2 linked regions of the Ovis aries genome follow. The protein of the gene in region 1 interacts with the protein of each later gene in a pairwise test. Links are inferred from orthologs where the notes say so. Each region holds a gene or a part of one and is shown in the gene's direction. Other genes may lie near its edges.

What was found.
Region 2: the proteins of EML1 (region 1) and ISG20L2 interact in binary tests that used the Homo sapiens proteins (3 or more experiments, as listed by UniProt). The two-hybrid records come from large-scale screens. The link is inferred for Ovis aries from reciprocal best matches to the Homo sapiens genes EML1 and ISG20L2.

Annotation. Positions count from the first base shown.
Region 1 is NC_056071.1:62,418,874-62,429,993, forward strand, and holds the start of EML1 (echinoderm microtubule-associated protein-like 1), read left to right. Parts: upstream 1-5,012; 5' UTR 5,013-5,079; coding exon 5,080-5,146; intron 5,147-11,120. UniProt on the Homo sapiens protein: Modulates the assembly and organization of the microtubule cytoskeleton, and probably plays a role in regulating the orientation of the mitotic spindle and the orientation of the plane of cell division.
Region 2 is NC_056054.1:106,682,776-106,693,895, reverse strand, and holds ISG20L2 (interferon-stimulated 20 kDa exonuclease-like 2), read left to right. Parts: upstream 1-4,288; 5' UTR 4,289-4,513; coding exon 4,514-4,521; intron 4,522-4,909; exon of another isoform or gene 4,910-5,016; coding exon 5,017-5,755; intron 5,756-7,565; coding exon 7,566-7,766; intron 7,767-8,464; coding exon 8,465-8,578; 3' UTR 8,579-9,428; downstream 9,429-11,120. Other genes in the region: METTL25B (methyltransferase-like protein 25B), read right to left, coding at 1-48, 519-711, 863-987, 3,485-3,595. UniProt on the Homo sapiens protein: 3'-> 5'-exoribonuclease involved in ribosome biogenesis in the processing of the 12S pre-rRNA. Displays a strong specificity for a 3'-end containing a free hydroxyl group.

The DNA of each region.
Region 1 (11,120 bases):
CAAGAGTACATCATATTCCATTGTATGGATAGACCACATTTTATCTCTCCATTGATCCGTGGACAATGGGTTGCTTCCCCATTTTGCCCGCTGTGAATGATGCTTCTGTAAACACGGGTGTACAGACATCTATTTGAGACTCTGCTTTCAGTTTCTTTGGGTATACACTCAGAATGGAATTTTCTGCTTCTCTTTTCTTTCTTTTTTTTTTTTTTAATTGTAGTTGATTCTGTTTCAAAGTGCTGATGTGACTTTAAATTAACTTTGTAACACTTTCAGTTTAGAGTGCACTGTGGTTTTGGTTTGTTTTTTTTTTTTTTTCGCTGTATCCCCAACGCCAAGCATGGTGTCTAGAACCGTAGAACTATTTTCAGAGGAATGTTGAATTAAACTATAGGTGCACAAGGCTCTCCATTTTTGGGTAATTTTTCTTTATTACTTTTCCATGAATAAAGGCTACAGAGCTCCCATTTTTCTTTCTTTCTTCACATGTTGTACAAATGCTGCTATTAATGTCATGGAATGCTATGGTTATATTGTCCTAGAGAGCATGCATCATTTATTACAACAACAATATGTTTTGGACTCGAGCCATAAATTATCTCAAAATGACGTGGAATAACAGTCTGTTAAAATGTTTGGGGGCAAAATCTCACATTATTAATTAAGTTTTCAGAGACTTTTTTTCTTGAACTTTCTCTTTTTTTTTTCCTCCACAGATCTTTTTAAAATGCTGTGTAGATTATACTTAGTTGATTGAACATGCATGTCCTTGTGATTATACTAAAATTTGCTTTTGTTAGAGTAAGCTTTTACCATTGTGGGGAAAAACACAGCAGTTGAATACTCTAGGTTAAGAGGGTGATAATGACCTTTATCATCTCAGAGCAGTGGGCTGTGTTCTTGTTATTTGTCATTTTGTTCCATTGGAAGTAAAATCCTCTAAGAAAATCTCCAGCTCAATTTTTCTCCTGTCCCACTTCTGAATTTTCTTTACTCCCCAACCTTTCTGCTTTGGGGCCACCAGATATCATATCTTTCAGATTATATATCAGGAATGCTAACCATCTTAAAGAGAATCATCTTTTAATAATTTATTCATGATTATCACTCCCTTTCCAGAGAATGCCACACATTAGTTTCTAAACACTAATTATCCAAAGTATCCTAATGTATAAAATCTCAAAGTGGAGTGGCAACAGTATAAAGGTCAGACTGGAAGGGGAGAAAGATGGGAAAAGAGAAAACAGAGAAGCGCCAAGTTCAAATGTGCACCTGTGTTAAGTCCCAGCCTTCAGAAGCCCCTCTCTGGGAGGCTTAAGAGGGAGGGGATGTATAAAGTTACGACTGATTTGCATTGCTGTATGGGAGAAGCCAACACAACTGTCAAGCAACTTTCCTCCAACTAAAAAATAAATTCAAAAAAGCCTCAACACCTGCCTTTGGGATGCATAGGGTCCGCCCATACTGGGTTGGGGTAGGGGCTTCATGTCACTCTTCTGCCACCTCTGCCCTCTATATTTGGCCTCTATTTCTTTTCTCTGTCCAAGTTCTGAAACGTGCATCTATAAGCATTCTCTTGTTCTTTTTTTGAGCGGTCCATCCTAAAGGAGGTCAGTCCTGGGTGTTCATTGGAAGGACTGATGCTGAAGCTGAAGCTCCAGTACTTTGGCCACCTCATGCGAAGAGTTGACTCATTGGAAAAGACCCTGATGCTGGGAGGGATTGGGGGCAGGAGGAGAACGGGATGACCCAGGATGAGATGGCTGGATGGCATCACTGACTCAATGGACGTGAGTCTGAGTGAACTCCGGGAGTTGGTGATGGACAGGGAGGCCTGGCGTGCTGCAATTCATGGGGTCGCAAAGAGTCGGACATGACTGAGCAACTGAACTGAACTGAACAATTTACACTGATCAAAAGAATTTACATATTTTGCATCGTCTGAAGTGGAAAATTAAAGGCAACATTGATCATTTTTTCTCTCTCTTGAAATTTTAGCCCTTTTTTTTTTTGACTGTACTGTGTACCTTGCAGGATCTTGGTTCCCAGCCAGGAATCAAACCCATGCCCCCTGCAGTGGATACGTGGAGTCTCAGCCACTGAGCCACCAGGGAAGTCTCTATGTGCTCTCCTTGTGATGTCTAGCAGCTTGGCTCTGGTCCCCACTGCTTCACCAAGGTGCTCCAAGTCACCCGGGGGCCCTCTACCACCAGATCGAAGCCCTTTGCCCAGGCTCATCCCCCTTGACTTGTCCCGCAGAGAACCTCGGGAAAGGCCCACCTCTGTGCACCTTTCTGTGCTCTTTGCTTAATGAGACAGCCCACTAGGCTGATGTCCGGCCTCTCAGCTCCTTCGGAATTTCCTTCTCTCCTCCCTTTCCAAGGCTCTGTCCAGCTCCCTTCCCACCCTCCATCCTCTCCTTTAGAGTGTTCCTGCTACAGCTTCTTTGCAGACAATTCCCACCTCTCATTCTTTCCCTGTCCAGCTGGTCTGCATCCCCAGTTGCTACAGGGCATTTCTAGTGGGAGGTCTGCTGTCTTCTGGTGCTTGGCCTTCCTGCCTCTCCAGCGGTATCGTCCTAGAGCAGGTTCCCTCCGGCCCATCTCTCAGCTTCTTTCTTCCCTCTCACTGTCTGGGCTCTGAGTGCTCCTTTCCAGAGAGCTGCAGACACCCTGGGGTGCTCTAGCTCCAGGCCCTGGCCCCTGTGGTCTGATTCACACTCAGTTCAGTTCAATCGCTCAGTTGTGTCCGACTCTTTGCGACCCCACGGACTGCAGCGGGCCAGGCTTCCCTGTCCATCACCAACTCCTGGAGTTTGCTCACACTCATGTCCATCGAGTCAGTGATGCCATCCAGCCATCTCATCCTCTGTCGTCCCCTTCTCTTCCTGCCCCCAATCCCTCCCAGCATCAGGGTCTTTTCCAATGAGTCAGCTCTTCACATCAGGTGGCCAAAGTATTGGAGTTGCAGCTTCAGCATCAGGCTCATCTCCAACACTGCTGGTGTCAGCCACCTGCTGGCATGCAAGCCTCCTGCCTCCCTCTGTCTCCTGCCGGGTCTGGCTCAGGCTGCCCTGCTGGCTCTCTCTTAGCTCAGGCCACTCTCATTTCCCCACTGTCTGAATACAGACTGTCCGCTCACAGCAGGTCAGCCCAAGGGCCTGTCAGCAGCCCCTGCTGCTTGCTTCCTCCACAGTCATTAACCCTGTCCTTCCAACCCCAGGTCACAGTTAAACCCACAGCACCTGTGGCCCTTGACGGTCAGGCCACCACCCCACCCCATTCCACACCCATCCCAGTGTACTTTTCCTCTTAGCAATCCGTGCGGTCTTCTGTTCTTGGTCTTCTTGACCAGGACGGGGCTTCAACCTTTCCCGTCTATCCACAGCATCTAATGCCAGTCCTGCTAACCCATGTGCCAGGCACAGAGCTGCAGGGTCCCATCCGTGACCCTGCCCTCTGCTTTTGCAAAGAGAGGTCCCCATCCACCTCTGAACCCCAGCAAGGCCCCCCAGGTTTTCCTAATAGTAACTTTCTACTCAGTTCTCATTTCACCTACTTGTGTTCAACCCTGAGCTTCCCTGGAGTCTCAGAGAGTAAAGAATCCGCCTGCAATGCGCAAGAGCTGGGTTCGATCCCTGGGTTGGGAAGATTCCCCTGGAGGAGGGCATGACAGCCCACTCCAGTATTCTTGCCTGGAGAAGCCCATGGACAGAAGAGCCTGGCGGCCTACAGTCCTGGGGTCGCAAAGACTCGGACACGATTGAGCGACCAAGCACAGCACAGAGCACAGGAGCTAATGCCTACAACTGGAAACCAGTCAGAATTGAACATGTAAGTGAATTGTAACTACTGTGTAACCAGGAGCAAAAATGTTACACCGTCTATTCTGGAAAAAGCCAGTTCAGTTCAATCCAGTTCAGTCGCTCAGTCGAGTCCGACTCTCTGCGACCCCATGAATGGCAGCGCACCAGGCCTCCCGGACTAAGGCCAACTCCTGGACTAAGTCAGAGGATCGTCAAACTCGCACTCTCTCTCACTTGTCACGTGCGAGCATCTTCACTTCAGTCCAGGTCAGTGCCTGGCACTATGCTCAGGGTTAGGGTTAGGGTTATCCACATGACAACCCCGTGGATTTGCGCGCTTCCTTCTTTCTGTGGTACTTTGTCCCGCCTCCCTGTCTCTCTGAGATAGAGTACGTAGAGATTTCCGTGGGTCCTGTAGCAAGTTAACAAGTGTCTTATGTGACAAATCTCCCCGCCACCCCAGGGGCTGATCAGGGGTGGGAGGGACCCCGGCAGATGTTTTAGCTCCCCTTAAAGACCCCGGCCTTTCCAGCCTGACATCTGGAGGGCCCCTTCTGGACGTGGGAAGCCGCATCGGTTCGAGCCGAGTCACCAGCCCGGCGCCGATTCTCACTCGAGGCAGGGCCTGGCCGCGGCGGAAGAACGCGCGGAGAGAGGGGCGCGCCTGGCAGGACGTGGCCAGAAGTGGAGCTGCTCCGACGTGGACACCCGGCCGAGATGGGCCCGCGAGTTGTCCATGTTTGGTCCTGGAGCCGCCCGCGGGGCGCGCAGGGACAACGCCCCCGGGGGAGCGCGGGCGCCGGCGGCCGCGGGAGGGGCTGCCCCGGCCGGGGCCGGGGGTGGGGTGCGGGTGCGACTCCCCCGCTCCCCGCGCGGCCCCTCCCGCGCCGCCGCCGCCGCTTCGCCTTTGTCCCAGCGCGTCCCCCCGCAACCCCGGAGCCGGCGGCCGCGCGGGGAGGCGGGGCCCGGCCGCGGCACCCCCCCGCCCCGGCCGCGCGCCGCCCTCGGCTCCCCGGCGCCCCAGCCCCGCCCCGGCCCCGCCCGGCCACGTCCCCCCGCCGAGGCCGCCCCCTGGCGGGCGGAGCGGGCGCCCGGCTCGCGCGGCCGCGGCGGCGGGCCCGGGGTTGCCATGGTAACCGGCGGCGGCCGCCGCCACGGCAGGGCCGGCCCCAGCGCCAGCGCCGGCCGCGGCTCGGCGCGGCTCAGTGTGGGGGTGAGCGGGCGGCGGCGCGGCCGGGCCGGGGGAGCGGGCACTGCCCGGCGGCCTCAGCATGGAGGACGGCTTCTCGAGCTACAGCAGCCTGTACGACACGTCCTCGCTGCTCCAGTTCTGCAACGGTGAGGAGGGGCGGCGGCCGGGGCGGGCCGGGGGGCCGCGGCGCGGAGCGGGCCGAGGGGCGAGGCCGGGGCGGCCGGGGAGGCCGCGCAAAGTTGCTGCGGAGGGGCGCGCGGTTCCCGCCGCCGCGGGCGCATTGTGCTGGGCTGCCGAGCCCCCGGGCCGCCCGCGCCTCGCCGCGCCCCCGCCCCCGCCCCCGCCCCCGCCCCGGCGCGGCTCGCGGCTCCCGGCTCCCGGCTCCCGCTCCGGGCTCCGGCCAGTGCGCGCGGGGAGCGGCCGGTCCCGGGGAGATCCGCGCGGGCGCACCGGCCGGGCAGCGCGTGAGGAGGCCCGGGCGCCCCGGGGCTCCGCGGGGACGTGTTGCTTTCTGCTTCCAAACTCACATCTGTTTGGAAATGTCTGGATGAAGAACTCGGAAAACACATCGCTTAATAACAAAACGCTCCTTCGAGGATGTGCGCAGTGTTTGCTGCGCATGGACTCAGATCCATTCCGTTCTACTTTGATGAAACCATCAACACTTTCATGCAATCTAGAGCTGTTTAAATGGACAGGCAGAGGGAACCGGGCTTCAAAGTGTTTCGACTGTTTACGGGGTGATACTTTTGGGTTTTGTTTGTTTGTTTGGTTACAGGGAGGAAATATTAATAGCTATCAATATGGCATCTTTAAAAATTATATAAAATCTTACGTTTCAAAGATGTTAGTTTCACTAGTAGGGTTGAAGATTGTCACAGCAGACTGCATGGTTTATCAGAACATTCACGCACAAAAGTTACCCATGCAATTTTTTATATGTTGGATTTATTGCTTTTTTAGAGGGTCCCAGAAACTTGTTAAAGAAAAAAAATCGTGTATTTTCTAGAATGTGCCTCTAGTACAGGTGGAATCATTTGGAATTCTAGACGCTTTGACGACTTGAGCAATTTCTTTTGCAGTTGTATTTGTGATTTAGGCGAATATCTCTAGTTATTCGACACCTGTTTGCAAATAGCAGGTATTAGCCTTGGCAGTTAAGATCACCGGGTTGATCTATAATGATATTTTAACCTCTGGCGAAATTTATCATCTTTTTCATGGGAGAGTATATAGTCTTATAGTTTTGGCAGCTTGTAACTTTTATGTTAATCACATGTGAGCCTTCATTACCTTGTAATGGCCTCTGCAGCAGAAAGGATGAAAGTTGTTGCTCTCCAACTTTACCAAGAGTTTCAGAGCTGAAGGAGGATAGAATGTATTTGGTGCCCTTCTGGCCACTGGAATTTCTTATATGTAGTTGAGAGTCATGGAAACGGTTTTATCCTCCACAACATTAAGTAGATATTTGAGCAGTTGTTTAGGGGCTGGTCATATTGCTTCTAAATAGCAGTTCAGTCATAAAGTTGTGTATCTATTCATGAACATTCTGGATTTCTGCCTTTTCTTTTAAATGTGTGTTAGAGATATTGGTAAGGAATTTTACTGGTAAGTGTCTAGAAGAAAGTAAAAACCAGGTTTTATATTGTATGGCTAACAGTTTAAAGAAAAATGACTTTATTATTTAAGCATAGTTGATTTACAATGTGTTAAATTCTGCTGTACAGCAAAATGGCCCAGTTATACATGTATATCTATTCTTTTTTTATATTCTCTTCCTTTATGGTTTTTCTGAAGTGCACCTGAGCTACACAGTAGAACTTTTGTTGCTTATCCACCCTATATATAATAGGTTACATCTGCTAATCCCAAACTTGCAATCCATCCATTCCCTACCCATGTCCCCGTAGGAAAAAAATGACTTTAAAATAGCTTAGAAACAAGCAATAAGATCAATTCAAAGTACAACTGAATCGTAACAGTTGAATTACTTTTCTTTACAAAGCTCTTAGCTCTGTGCTTTTTTTTTTTTTTTTTTTGGTTAGCTTATGAATAAAGTTTAAAGTGAGAATGGTCTCTGAGGTAGAAGTGAGTGTCACCCTGGTGATGTTTTAGGCAGCAGATGTTTGGATGAGAAATTGCTCATTTTAAGAGGCCTTTGCTAAGTGAAAATATAAATGAGTACAACCCAATTAATGACTATGATGATTCAATGAAAGCAGTGGATCACAGGAACACCATTTCACCAAGCATTACATTAAACATTTGGGTATTTTATTGGCAACAGTGACAAAAAATTCTTTTTGAATTAGAGATTTCCATGACAATGGCAGGACTACGCCACTCAGTAGATGAACCCATCCACGTTCATACGTTGAGCACACTCCATGCTTTCGATGGTGACAGGAACCAAAAAGTCATAGTTGTTTATTAGCTTCAGAAAATGCATCCCATACTTGTTATTTGGATGACTGCCGCAGTTAACGTCTTCCTAGTGTGATCAAGATAGAAGTTAGTCGTAAATGTGAACAGGAAGGAAGAGAAAACGTTGTCCTAATGAGTGAAATCTCTAGTTTCCACTGTATTTTTCCCCTTACTGTCTCTCGTACTTAATTTGTAGTGGATATTAAATGTCAGCATAGGCAGTATCTAGCCTCATGAAAAGACTATCCATGCTCCTTTTAGATACTGGCTGTCTTATTTCACTAGGAAATGTGTGCAGTGTTTTTTTCTCCAAACTGTTTAGGACTCTGTAAAGTGAGCTAGAAATCACAAACTTCTGTCCGCCTAAGAAAAAACTACAACAGTTGCAAAGTAGACTAAAGCTGTCATTTATAAGCCAATTTCCTGTTTGGGAAATACTTGCCATCTTTCACTCCATTTCTTTCTTCAAACCCTTCCTTTTGCGTAGGAGGAAACTGAGTCTCAAAGAGATTTTTCTAACTTTATAAGGCCACACAACTAGTAAGGCTTGGATACCAGTATGAATTTTTTTGGTTTGTTTTAATAACAGCTATTGAGAGAGATAATTCACTTTCTATAAAAATTCTCCCTTTTTAAAGTATACAGTTAAGTGGCTGTTAGTATATTCACAGAACTGTGCATGTGTCAACAGTATCTAATTTTAGAACATTTTCATCACCACCCAAGAAACCCCAGCACCCACTAGGTTGTATTCCCCATTGCCCTGGCCCTTTGGCCATACCAACCTGTCTCTCTGTCACTATGGATTCTGAGTATTCAGTATAAGTGGCATCGTGCGTGTGGCCTTTCATCTGGCTGTTTTCACTTAGCGTAATGATTGAAGGTCATCCACGCTGTCGCATGTGCCAGAACGCCATTCCTTTTATGGCCAAATAATATTCTGTTACACGGGTAGACCCTGCTTTATTTCTCTGTTCACCAGTAGACAGGCATTTGGGTTGTTTCCGCTTTTTGACTGCCATAAATAATCCTGTCAGGAACATTCATATCCAGGTTTCGTGTAAACTTATGTTTTCATTTCTGTTTGGTTGGTACCTAAAAGTAGGGCTTCCCTGTTGGCTCAGATGGTGAAGAATCTGCCTTCAGTGCGTGAGACCCAGGTTCAGTCCCTGGGTCGGGAAGATTCCCTGGAAAAGGGAATGACAACCAATTCGAGTCTTCTTCCCTGGAGAATTCCACCAACAGAGGAGCCTGGCAGGCTCCAGTCCATGGGGTCGAAAAGAGTTGCACGTGACTGAGTGACTGATGCACTTTCACACTTACCTAGGAATAGAATTGCTGAGGCATATGGTAGCTGTGGGTTTAACATTTTTGAGGAACTAGTCTGAATTTTTTGAAGTCTAAACATCAAGCAGTCCATCCTAAAGGAAATCAGTCCTGGATATTCATTGGAAGGACTGATGTTGAAGCTGAAACTCCAATACTTTGGCCACCTGATGCGAAGAACTGACTCCTTGGAAAAGACTCTGATGCTGGGAAAGATTGAAGGTGGGAGGAGAAGGGGACAACAGAGGATGAGATGGTTGGATGGCATCACCGACTCAATGGACATGAGTTTGAGCAAGCTCCAGGAGTTGGTGATGGACAGGGAGGCCTGTGCAGTCCTTGGGGTCGCAAAGAGTTGGACAAGGATTGAGCGACTGAACTGAACTGAAACATTAAGCTCTTTTTATTATGCCTTGTTGGTATGAGACTGGGGAGTCAAGAAACTGGATGAAAGATGGAAAGAAGTAGGTAGGAAGAACGTAACTGTTGCTATTTCATTTCTGTGAGTCACTTTGGATTCTTCCATCAATCACAGTTCTTCAAAACAAGTCAACGCACACGTTGGCTTAGTTGCCGTAGGTTACAAGAATTTCAGAGTTTGAGGGGACCTGAATTTGAGGGGGTGATCTCATCTCATAATTTTCTTTCTTAAGCCTCTGAATGTTTCGTCAAAGTACAGCTCACCCAGGAATGCAAATGTCAGGCAGATAAATCCCAGGGAGCATCCCCCGCTGAACTCAGAGAGAGGGCAGTGTCTCTGATCCTCCTTGCCTGTCCTGTCATCCCCTGATTCCATCCACCCAGCCCTCCAGGGCTTGAGATCTCTGTTCCAGAGGTTATTCAACCCATGTTAGAGCAGTTCCAAAGAACTGAAAACTCACTATCTCTGCATGCAGTCCATTCCCTCTTTGTGTGATTCAGACCGTCAGTTGCTAAATGCAGTCAAAATTTGGCCCAAGTTCTGCCCCTTGGGTCCATAGGAAGTAGGTTTAATCTCTTCTCCATGTACAGGTCATCCCATGTTTGAAGACAGTCCTTCTCAGGTCTGATTCCAGCTAAACATTACCTTTAAAAACAGAAATCCTCACAAGACAGTTTTAGGCCCTTCATCATCCTGGTTTGCCCAGTCTGTACTTCTTTTCTTTTGTCTGTATGCCTCTTTGGGCTTCCCTTGTGGCTCAGCTGGTAAAGAATCCGCCTGCAGTGCTGGAGACCTGGGATCGATCCCTGGGTTGGGAAGATCCCCTGGAGAAGGGAAAGGCTCCACCCACTCCAGTATTCTGGCTCGGAGAATTCCATGGACTGTATAGTCCAGGGGTTGCAAAGAGTCAGACACAACTGAGCAACTTTCACTCACTCACTTATATGCCTCTTTAAATTTAACACAGCTGAACGTCTGCATATTCCAAGCGTGGTTTTTAAATAGAGCTGAGTAGAGCTGGATGCTTCACCTCCCTTGTTCTAAAGTCTATACTTCTAGTAATGTAGCCCAAGACCATATGAGTTCTTTTGCTTGCCACTTCACATTGTGACCTTTTATCGGTTTTCACCTAAAATTCTTGTCTGTTTTACATGTATTGTGGCTAACCCACTTTTTTCCCATACTTTTCCCTTTTCTTTTTAAGGAGGAATTTCCTTTTTTATTTTAGGGGTAATTTCCTGTAATACAGCATAATTGTAATCTGTACCATAATGCTGTAAATACTCCCAACACATATAAAATATTTCAGTGTTGTAATAACATGGAAGTTGGTCATTGCCTTAAAGGTTATGATCCTGGCTGATAGCTTTTTTTTCTGTCTTGCCTGGAAAGGTGCTGTGAGAGATCTTCCCATGTTCCTTTCTACAGCCTATACATGGCTCAGCTACCACTTCTGATGAAACTGGACTTGCCCTGCAGGTGCTACTTGTTAATAACCATAGCCTGTCAAGTCCCTGCTACCTCCTGCTCCCAATGACATTCTGAAGCCACTACAGCAATCTTTTGAACTGTGTTGTCGTTGTTCACTTGCTAAGTTGAGTCCGACTCTTTGTGACCCCAGGGACTGCAGCACACCAGGTTTCCCTGTCCTTCACAATCTCCCAGAGTTTGCTCAGGTTCACGTCCATTGAGTCAGTGATGCCATCCAACCATCTCATCTTCTGTCATCCCTTTCTTCTGCTCTCAGTCTTTCTTAGCATCAGAGTTTTTTTTCCAGTGAGTCAGCTCTTTGCAACATGTGGCCAAAGTGTTGGAGCTTCAGCTTCAGCATCAGTCCTTCCAATGAATATTCAGGACTGATTTCCCTTAGGATTAACTGGTTTGATCTCCTTGTAGTCCAGGGCACTCTCAACAGTCTTCTCCAACACCACAATTCAAAAGCATCAATT
Region 2 (11,120 bases), on another chromosome or scaffold:
ATCCACAACCTGGGTGCAGCCTGTGAGGTCACTCAGCTTCTTCACCAGCTGAAAGCAGAGGGAACAAAGGCCCCTGGCCATTGGTTGTTGGCTCCCAGGGCAAACACTCATAAGGAGAGCAGGGAGCAGCTGAGGATGGCAGAGGAAGACGGGTAGAGGGTGCCATGGGAGAGACAAGAGACATGGAAACCAAAACAGGGTGTGCTGACCCCAGGCTCAGGCTACTGTCTTTGCTCCTCTCAGAACAGTGATTCAGTCCCCACAGAACAAGAGCCCTGGGTGATGCCATCAGCAGATTGTGAAGATTATCAGAACAAGAATAAGACAATGATTCAACTATAGCTGCCACCAACCCAGCAAAAGGATGAAGATAGGATTATAGTACATCTGCCAAGGAAGGGACCTTCCAGGGCCTCTGGTCCTATAGGTGATAAAAGGTGCCCAAACCTTTGTAACCCATAGGCTTAAGGAGTCCCCAAGGCCCCCAGATACTACCTGAACCCCAGCCATCTCCTCACCTCTCCCAGCCTCCGAATCTCATGCTGCTTCTTGGGCCTGACATGTTTCCGGAATGGAGCTGTCAGTCGGGAACTCTGGCTGGGATTCTCCAGGAACTCTGAGGGGGTCTGAAACCCAGGCGTCCGGGTAAAGGCCAGGGCATAGGCTGTGGACTTCAGGGCCAGCAGGGTGAGTGGCCACACCGACCTGTACCTGAGATAGCCCGCCCAGGCCCCCAGTGAATAGTCCCATTGCATCCTGAGTGTGCCAGCCTACAACCCAGGAAGCCCTCGTGAGACTGAGCGATGGCTCCCTGCAGGGCTCAGCTCCGAGTCCCCCGGCACAGGGTCCCTCTTGCCCATACCTGGCCACTTCCCCTTCCCTGGGCATCCCCAGCAGCAGCGTGGCCAGCTGTGGCGGGTTCAGTCCATCCAGGGCTTCCTGCCATGAGCAAGGGAGTGTGCCCCACAGGTTGTCTGTGAAAAATTCCTGGAGGGGAAAGGGAGAAGCAATCAACAGGCTACTCCCCCTCCCATTCTTCCCTACCCACACAACACACGGCCACCAGCTGCAACTAGCAGGAACCTCTCCTCATCGGAGTTACTTCTCTGAAGTCTGCTCTAGCCTTCCCCTCCTTCCTGAGCCCAAATTGCAATCTGGACACATTTCTCCTTTTAGCAGTGTCCCCCTTATTTATATGTGTGTCTGCCACTCAACTGAACTGAAGGGTGTGTGTGGTTGCTTTGCACCTGCCTCCTTAACACAGCAGTGACTAACACACACTATCAGTATGTTACCATCTAGTAACCTACTGTTACATGTGCCAGACACCACAGATGCCAGACATTATATATGCCAAAATGTTGGTTTTTATTTTTGGTCATCACATGTGACATGTGGGATCCTAGTTCCCTGACCAGGGGCTGAACCTGGGCTCTCTGCAGTGAAACCGCCAAGTCCTAACCACTGGACCACCAGGGATTCCCCGCCAGAATGTATTTTTATTCATTTATTTGTTCAACACAAATTCTGGAGCTTTGTTTAGGCATCAGGTTCTATCCTAAGCTCAGGGGATACAAGCAACAAAACAGACAGACAAGATCCCTGCTCTTGCAGAGTTTACACTTAAAGAAATTATTTCAAGTAACATCAAGTGCCACATAGACAAAACACTAATGAGACAGTAACATAATGGAGAGTTTGAGTGTACTCTTAGAGTAATACAGCACATGTGAAACACTGCATGCTTTGGTTGCCCAGAGGCAGGGGTGGGGGTAAATAAAATAGGTGAGGAGGGTCAAAAAGTACAAACCTCCAGTTACAATGTAAATGTCATGGAGATGTATAGTATGGTGACTGTTGTAAATACTACTATATTGTATGTCTAAAAGTTGCTGAGAGTAGATCTTAAAAGTTCTCATCATAAGAAAAAAATTACTACAGCAATGGGATATTAACTGATGCAAGAGATGGTTAGATAGCTCACTGATTCAGTGGACATGAATTTGAACAAACTCTGGGAGATAGTGGTGGACAAGGAAGCCTGATGTGCTGCAGTCCATGGGGTCACACAGAGTCAGACACAACTCGCCACTGAACAACAGTTATTTCATAATATCTACAAATAGGAATCATTACGTTACACACCTGAAACTAAAATGTTACATGTCAGTTCTATCTCCCCTTTTAAAAATTCAGGTAGCAGTAACCACAGAATACTTTAACACGCCAGATACTATCTGAAACATTTTATATATGTTAATGCATTTCATTAATCTGTCCAGGTCAAGAAGCTAGTTAGTAGTACAGCTGGAATCTGAAACCAATTCAACCCTAGAGTTTTGCTGTTAACCACCCTACTCAATTGCCTTTCTGTTGAGAAAAAAAACATTCCAGGAAGATCAGTAAGTGCAAAGGCCCTGATCAAGCCAGTGTAGATGTAGTATAGTGAATGTGGGAGAGAATGAAATGTGATCAGGTTTTAAAGGGAGCTTGTAGGGTTTTATAGGTAATGGTGACTACCATTACCTATAATTAGGATCCAGGCAAGAATACTGGAGTGGGTTGCCATTTCCTACTCCAGGGGATCTTGTCAACCTAGGAATTGAACCCACAACTCTTGGGTCTCCTGCTTTGGCAGACGAATTCTTTACTACTAGCGCCACCTGGGAAATCCAGAGTACCTAGGAAGCAAGAAATGTCACGATCAGATTTACATTTTTAGAAGAACAGTCTGCCTGTTTTGTGAAGAAATGGGAATGGAAGGGAGGAAGCAAATACAGAAATCAGTTAGGAAGCAGTCCAGAAGAGAGATGATGTTGGCTTGGCCTAGGGTGGTAGCAGTGTCAATGGAGACACATGGGTGAATTTGGTATCTATTCTGGAGGTTGAATCAAGGATGGCTTCTGGGTTTGGGAATTGAATAATTCAGTGGATGCTGGTGGCATTTATACATCATCTCATTTATTTTTCACAATGATCCTTCAAAATGGGATCTATTTTACAGCTGAGGATCTGGGGCTAGGAGGAATTTTTATGCCTAATGTTAACACGATAGGGAAGGCGGGACTCTAGTCCGACTCAGTCGACTTCAAAGTTGGAATTGTCCATTACACAGCAAAACCAGGAATTTATTCAAAACCTGAATGAACGATCATGTGTGTTCTTGAAAACACCTCACATGTTCCTAGGAAAGTTCAACATTGCCGCAGCAGCATGGCTCAAATGTCCATGCGCTTCATTACTGGACTCGAGAATTAGAAAAACAACCTAGATGCTAGAAATATTAATATTTAGGTCATCAGAAAAAAAAAAAAAGAATCGGGGTTTTTGCCCCAGCTTTAACCCTTTCTTGTACAGACAAAAAACTGAAAAAAACCTATTAGAAAAAAAGATCAGACGCTAACTCTCCAGATTCTCCCCTAGTCGTGGCTAGGTAGCCAATCACACAAGCAGGAGCACCCCACCCACATCCCTGTGGCCTCACGATGATGTAGGCGTCCAGGATGGAACGGTAGAGCGTCACGACCCGGGTGAGGTTCACCGCTAGCTGTCTCCTCTCTTCGTGAGAGAGGCGCCGGGCGGAGACCCCGGGCATTCCGGGGCCAAGACGGTGGCGCGGGAAGCGAGAAAGCAATGAGGAGAGGACCAGGGTGAGAACCACGCGGGTGTGGGACCCGGGCTGGGCTCAGCACTTCAGGTGGTCTCAGAAGAAAAAGTGTTCGGAATTTGGTGCCGGATGCTGCCTTTCCGGGATTCCAGGCTCGGGACGAAGACTTCAGGCGCACCCCTGACGTCACAGGTCGCGACGCCCCACAGCGCCAAGGTGTCTACGTCTGAGACTAGCGGGGCGGGAGTGCCAGCGCAGTGACGCCACAGAGGCGTCGCGCAGTGCGCTGCTCACCAATAGGGGCGGGCCAAGTCCGAGGTCCCGCCTCCAGATCCCGCCCCTTCCCGTACACTTCTCTCCTCTCCGGAAGTGAGGCCGCGGGTTGTCCCGCGCGTTTCAGTTCCCGTTTGTCGCGGCTTCCTCACACCTTCGAGTTGTACCTCCACGGGGCTAGAGGGGCCGGGGAGCGCCTCCCGCCCCCGCCCCCACCCACGCCGCCCCCGCCGCCGCCTCCGCTGCCGCTGCCCACACACTCCGAATCCCTGGCCTCGCTCCCGGAGGCAGGGGCCGTGCGGGTACGCGGGCGCCGGCCTCCAGCGCGTTCCAACCCGCGGGCCTGCCGGCCTGGGCATCGCCGACGCGCGCCAACTTCCGCATCCGGCTCTTGGCGCTTCCGGTCTTAGCGGACCCATCTAGGAGGTAGGTGAGAGAGCGTGCGAGGTTGGCTCCGCCGCGTGCATGGCACCTATTCCTTAGACTCAGTTCCTTCCCCTACCAATGTGTGTTGTCAAAGGTCCTTTCGTGGCACAAAGACTTGAGTGAGATGCATGTGGAGATTTCCCCCACCTGGAAACGAGGGAGATGAGTGCCTGAATTTGTATCTCCACTCGTGAGACCCGCGTGAGGATGCTAGGGTAATCCAGAGATCAGCTTTGCCAAACCTGTCACTGCCTTTGAGCATACCTAGACGTTCCCTCCATGGGTAGATGATAGAGTTCACCTATTCTGGCGTTGTAGATCGCTGTTTCAGCTAGTTGGCCCTGCGACCCCCATAAGTTTACAAATGTGACTGAGATCTAGAGAGGAGACCTGGCCTTCCTATTCACCAATTCACCCAGCTGGTGAATTGTGGAGCTTTCTAGAATCCAGGCTTCCTGGTTCAGAATGAAGTTCTTCTTCCGTCATATCACATTATTTGAGAGGTTACTCTGATGTCTTTCCCCTCTCTTAAGTCCTGCAAAGATGGGTCTTATTGATTCCCAAGGCTATGGGCTCCGTTATCAGGATCGTTTTCTTCCCTAGGGTATGCTGCAAACCTCCAAATGCTGGTCTGTGGGATTCAGCAGATGAGTCTTCTATCTTCCTCTCATCTGTAAGCTGTTCTTCCCAACTGTTCTCTCACCATCCAGTGTCATCATGTCTACCTTACTCCTCAATCTGGATTTTGGCGAGCCTCCCCCCAAAAAGGCATTAGAGGGAAATGCCAAGCACCGAAAATTTGTCAAGAAGCGGCGACTCTTGGAACGGAAAGGCTTCCTCAATAAGAAGAAGCAGCCCCCTAGCAAGGTGCCTAAGCTGCACTCAGAACCTTCAAAGAAAGGGGAAACTCCCAGGGTAGATGGCACTTGGAAGGCCACTCCCCTTCCAAAGAAGACAACAGCTGCCTCCAGCAGTGGGTCAGAGCAGTCCCTGGACAAGAAAGCTGCAGTGCCTTGGCTGACTCCTGCCCCTTCACAGAAGGTTGGTTCTGTTGTGGCTAAAGTGGATTTGCTGGGGGAATTCCAGAGCGCCCTACCAAAGATTAAGAGCCACCCAACTCGCCCCCAGAAGAAGGGCTCCCAGAAGAATCCTCCACCCAGGAATGGCCCACAGAACTCCACCCAGACACATTCAGAGAATAAATACTCTGGGGCATCCCAGAAGATACCGGGGAAGATGGTGGCAATTGACTGTGAGATGGTGGGTACTGGACCCAAGGGGCATGTCAGTTCCTTGGCTCGATGTAGCATTGTCAACTACGACGGAGATGTGCTTTATGATGAGTACATCCTGCCCCCTTGCCACATTGTGGACTACCGGACCAGATGGAGTGGTATCCGGAAGCAGCACATGGTGAATGCTACGCCCTTCAAGATTGCTCGGAACCAGGTAAGAGGCGTGAGGGATGGTGGTAGCAGCGAAGCAGATAGGGTGAAGTCCAAATCATTTTTCAGCAAAGGATATCACTCTGGGAAGGCACCAAAGGATTGTGGAGGGAGGGTTGGAGTGGATGGAGTAGCAGATAAAGAAGGCTTTTCTTTGGGGATGAAGAGTGGTAAGAACCTGGAAACTTAAAAATAGCTGGTGTAATAAACTGTGTTAGATCTGTTTTAGATCCCAAGTGGAATCCTCATCTGGATAGTTGGGACTCTGCTAGAAAAACAGCAACCCATGATGGACAGAGTAGCAGGCATGAATGCCAGGGGGAAAGGGTTCAACTTGAGAATACCTTGTAGAAGTGGGTCTAGGGTTGAGAACAGAGAGGTGGAGGGCGCTTCCCAAGCAAGAAGTGGTCTGTGGCAGTGTGGAAAGTTGGTGGATAACTGGAACAGGCAGCCTGCAATGAAGGGGGTAAAAGACACAGGGCTGGTATGTTGGGGTTCTCATCTCATTCACTGAGCAGTCCTAGCCACTGTAAGCTCTGTGCTGGAAACTGGAGGCACGCTGAATGAACAGGGGAAGGGGAAAGGAGCTGCTGGTCTTGGAAGGCCTCCAGAGGGCACCCTTGGTCCACTTTGTCATTTCAGCTCTACATTCTTTGTCTTGTCTAGACACACTGTTCCAGTAATCTCTCATATGCCAGAGCAGTCATTTGGAGGAATTTCATCAGAGGTAGAACAGCTAGATTTTAGAAAGAAAATGAAGAGTGAAGAACATCCTGTGCACCCTCAGGGGCATAGCTGAGCAAAGGCTCGGGAGAGTCAGAAGATCAGGTGGCTCTGAAACAGCACATCCACTTAGCTTTAATGAAGGCTGTGTGTTGAAATTAATGCAAAGTAAAGGTGTTAGTGGTCAGCAAACTGTAGGGGCAACTAAATACCAAGTTGATTAGACTATATCTGGTTTTCGTCATAAGAATCAGTGCCCAAGCTGGGGTATGAGACCAAGGTACATTCAGATGAGTCTGTACCCTTCCAAAGGGTCCCATTGGGAGGCCAGGCATTGATTTCAGGCCTGTTAACTCTTTCGCAGTCTGTTTGGAACCCCATTTTGGTAATGGCCCTCCGAGTTCATGGCATATTCTTTATCGTCCTCATTGGAAGTGAGTCTTTATCTTTTTTTAGGGGGTGGGGCATACCTCGAGGCTTGTGAGATCTTTGTTCTGTAACCGGGGATCAAACCTGGTCCCCCTGGCAGTGAGAGTGCTGAGTCCTAACCGCTGGACTGCCAATTCTTAATTCCCAATTTTTAATTTTTTATAGCTTGTAGGCCCTTTGAGAATCTGATGAAAGCCATAGATTCCCTCCCAGAAAACAAACACAGAAACATGCATATCAATTTGCATATAATTTGGGGCTTCCATTACCTCCCTGGAGCCCATCTTTACAGTATTTGTCCCAGCCTGTATCTAAGGCCAACGTAACAATTATGGTTAAAGAACTTCAAGTATCAAGCCAGGACTGAACTAGGTAATTACATGAACATCACATTGAGGTAGAAATTAATGTGACGATAAGGAACCACTGGCTAGGTATGTCCAAACGGTTACACCATGAAAAATGCCTACTTTTACCTCGGGGAGAGGAGATGGATTTCAGGTGAAAGAAAACTTGGGGGAGAAGGCATTTCAAGGATGAGGCAAGTGAGCAAGTGGTGAAAAGAGCCTAGAAGGACTTAGAGCCGTGTTGGGCTTTTAGAATGCAGAGGCTGCATCTGTGGATCGTGCTCCTCACCACCTCCTCTTCCGTGTCTGTTTCAGATCTTGAAGATTCTCACAGGGAAGATAGTGGTGGGGCATGCCATCCACAATGACTTCAAAGCCCTTCAGTACGTTCATCCCAAGTCCCTCACCCGAGACACCTCTCATATCCCCCTCCTCAACCGTAAGGCTGACTGCCCAGAGAATGCCACCATGTCTCTGAAGAGTCTCACCAAGAAGCTGTTGAACCGGGACATCCAGGTAGCGTCTCCCCAAAAGCTGCCAGACCTCTGGCTTGGACGGGAAAGGCCGGCTGCTGCCTCTCTCCAGGCTCTGACACTCAGATTCCTCTGATTGCAGAGAGATCCAGGGGGAGGTGCTCTGATGGGAAGAGCTTTGGGCAGAGAGGCCCCCCTCTACTTAGGCATAACAGTTCTTGTTTCCTACCTCCCAGAGTGTTCCACAGGGTACTTGGAAAAGGAAAAAAGCCTAAAAGTGGGACTAAAACCCTAAGTAAGAAAAGAGAGAAGCAGGTAGTTGTGGTGGCCTAAATGACCATAAAGTGGCTTCAGGGGCCTCTTACGTATTTCATATGTTTGGCAGTCGAAGAGGGGGTGGTCTGCCTGTCATGAGGGTATAGACACATGTCATACATTAGTTAAAGAACTAGGGAAGATGGAAGACTCAGAAGGTCTGTCTGTGATCTGGTCTGTTCTGCTTCTACAGAAGAATGTAGAACAATATGGTGTGTACTTGTTGCCACAGAAAGGACTGAGGCAGACCATAGTGTAGGAGTTGAACCCCTGAAATCAGATGATGAGCGGGGCTCCACCAGAGGTCTGCCTTTGCAGCCCGCTAACTGCACAAGCAGCAGCATCATTGAGGTTGGAGAGCACCAGTTGGGAAGGGAGGAAACGGTCTCTTGTAGCCTCATGCTCTTTTCTTCCTCCCTTGTTCAGGCTGGGAAAAGTGGACATTCCTCAGTGGAAGATGCTCAGGCCACCATGGAGCTGTACAAGTTGGTTGAAGTTGAATGGGAGCAGCACCTGGCCCAGAATCCCCCTAAAGACTAGCGCCAGCGGGGACACCGGCGATGTAGGCAGGCGGAAGCAGCACCACACCCAGGACGGGGCAGTCTGCCACGGACCGCTCCACCAGCTCCATGCCTTTGGCAGCTAGGGGGTTTGGGGAAAGGGAGGCCACACCCCAGACTTAACATCCATTGAGGTCCACTTCAGGTGTTGTGTGTCTTGTTAACTGTTACTTGGAAGGAGGACGCCTCCATGTCAGAACCCACCCTTAGGCCGTTTACCTCTTAAATGGTGCTAACCGTGTGTCCCAAGGTGCTTTGCTTCTGGGAAAGTCTTTTGACTTTCAAAGGGCACAGCAAACCGGGAAATGTCTTTTCTCAAACTGCCTTATCACTAGGGTGGCTATGTGTCCCATCATGCCTTTCCTTTCAAGCAATTAACAGCACCTTCTTTCACTCTCAGAAGTATCCTATTGGATGATAACTTGTACAATCACAATGCATCTCTCAGACTCTGCTTTCTGCTCAGAGTCTACATATGGTTTGTGTTGGGGTATCACCTGTTCTTTCCGCCTTGAATTCCGGAGAAGCCATTCCTGGTGAGGTTTAGTTCTCCTTAGGGTTATGGGCAGGACAGGTAAGAGAGTGACTTGGAAATCAATTTTTCTGATTTAGGAAAGCAGTCTCCTAAAGTAATAGAGAATTTATTTAATTTAAACCCCACTTACTAGGTTAAAGAAGAATTTTTAAATGTTTCGATGAGTTTTAGTCTTTTACTTTGCTAAACCAAGCCTCTGAAAATGCAAATTATTCCCTTGATAAATTTTTTATAAAGGAAAAACAATTGTGTGGTGTTTTCCTTATAACTTCACATTAAATAGCTTTGTCACAGACTCCTTAGCGCTGTAATTCTGTTAGGGGGGCTAGAGTCTCTGTGGATGACGCTGAATGGACCCTGGTTTGCTGGAAGTCATCAAGAAGCGCCGACGAAGCCTTTGTCTGTGGCCCGTGTGCTCTGTTGCCTTCTCGCCCCACCACAAATCAACAAGCACACCAAAAATGACACTTGAAGCTGCGCGAACACCCTCACACAGGGTATGTGACCTGGAGAGTGACTCAGAGTGGGCACGTGGGAGGGATGGAGCGGGAGAGAGTGGGTGCTCAGTGACGCCAGCCTGGTTGCTCCTGCCAGCTCTTCCTTGGTGGTACACACCCTGATGTTGGGAAAGTGAGTCACAGGTCTGACCCTGTGGCTGCAATCACTGTCTGCGCTCTGTCTTTTTTTTTTTTTTTTTTTTTTATTTTTTTTATTTTAAATTTTAAAATCTTTAATTCTTACATGCATTCCCAAACATGAACCCCCCTCCCACCTCCCTCCCCATAACATCTTTCTGGGTCATCCCCATGCACCAGCCCCAAGCATGCTGCATCCTGCGTCAGACATAGACTGGCGATTCAATTCACATGATAGTATACATGTTAGAATGGCATTCTCCCAAATCATCCCACCCTCTCCCTCTCCCTCTGAGTCCAAAAGTCCGTTATACACATCTGTGTCTCTGCGCTCTGTCTTGAGAGAATGCAGACTCCGTGTACACACCGAGACTCGTGCCCTCTCGAGTGGCTATTTTGGCTCCAGAGGCCAGAGTCACAGTTGTGGCTGCCTATAGAAGGGAATTTGCTGCAGCCAAATGAGAGCTCGGACGTGGTCTTGCTGCGGTGTCCTGCACCACGGCATCTGCTTGAACAGGCAGCTGTTGAGCTCTGAGCAAGTTGGTTCCTGTTGAACCCAACATAAGCAATGTCCATGACACTTCACAAAGAAGCGCTAGGCGTTCTTACACACCTCTAAGTGGGACTAACATAGGAAGGCCACACCAAAAACTGGGGTTACAAGTCTTAATTGAAATGAATGTGAGTCTTAATTGCATTGCAATCAGGAAACTAGAAGCTAAGTGGAAAATTCTCCTTTGAGTTCAGGTTTTAGGGTACCTGGCTTAGTAATTTATTTTATGAAGTACACTGTTGATTTACAATATTGTTTCTGATGTACAACAAAGTGACTCAGTTATATGTAACAATCATATAGTCTTTTCCATGTTATTTTTCCATTGTGATTTATCATACGATGTTGAATGTAGTTCCCTATGCTCCACAGTAGGACCTTGTTCACTCTGCATCTAATGGTTTACAGCTGCTAACCCCGCACTCCCGATCCATCCCTCCCCGCCTCCCTCCTTGGCAGCCACACGTCTGTCCTCTGTGAGTCTGTTTCTGTTTCACAGATAAGTTCATTTGCATCATATTCTAGATTCCACATATAAGTGATATCATATGGTATTTGTCTTTCTCTTACTGACTTACTTAATATGATAATCTCTAGCTGCAGTTGGCTTTTATGCTCTACTTCACCCCCCAACTCAGACACCCTCAGTCCAGCATTGGGAAGGGCTAAGTCTCACTTTTGCTCACCAAAAAGAATCTGGAGACCAGAGGACCTTGCAACCATTTTCTTGCTCTTTTCTCGTATGATACTTCCTGGTCAGAGCCCAGCTCACCCTTCAGGGAGCCTGGGGATCCCTGTA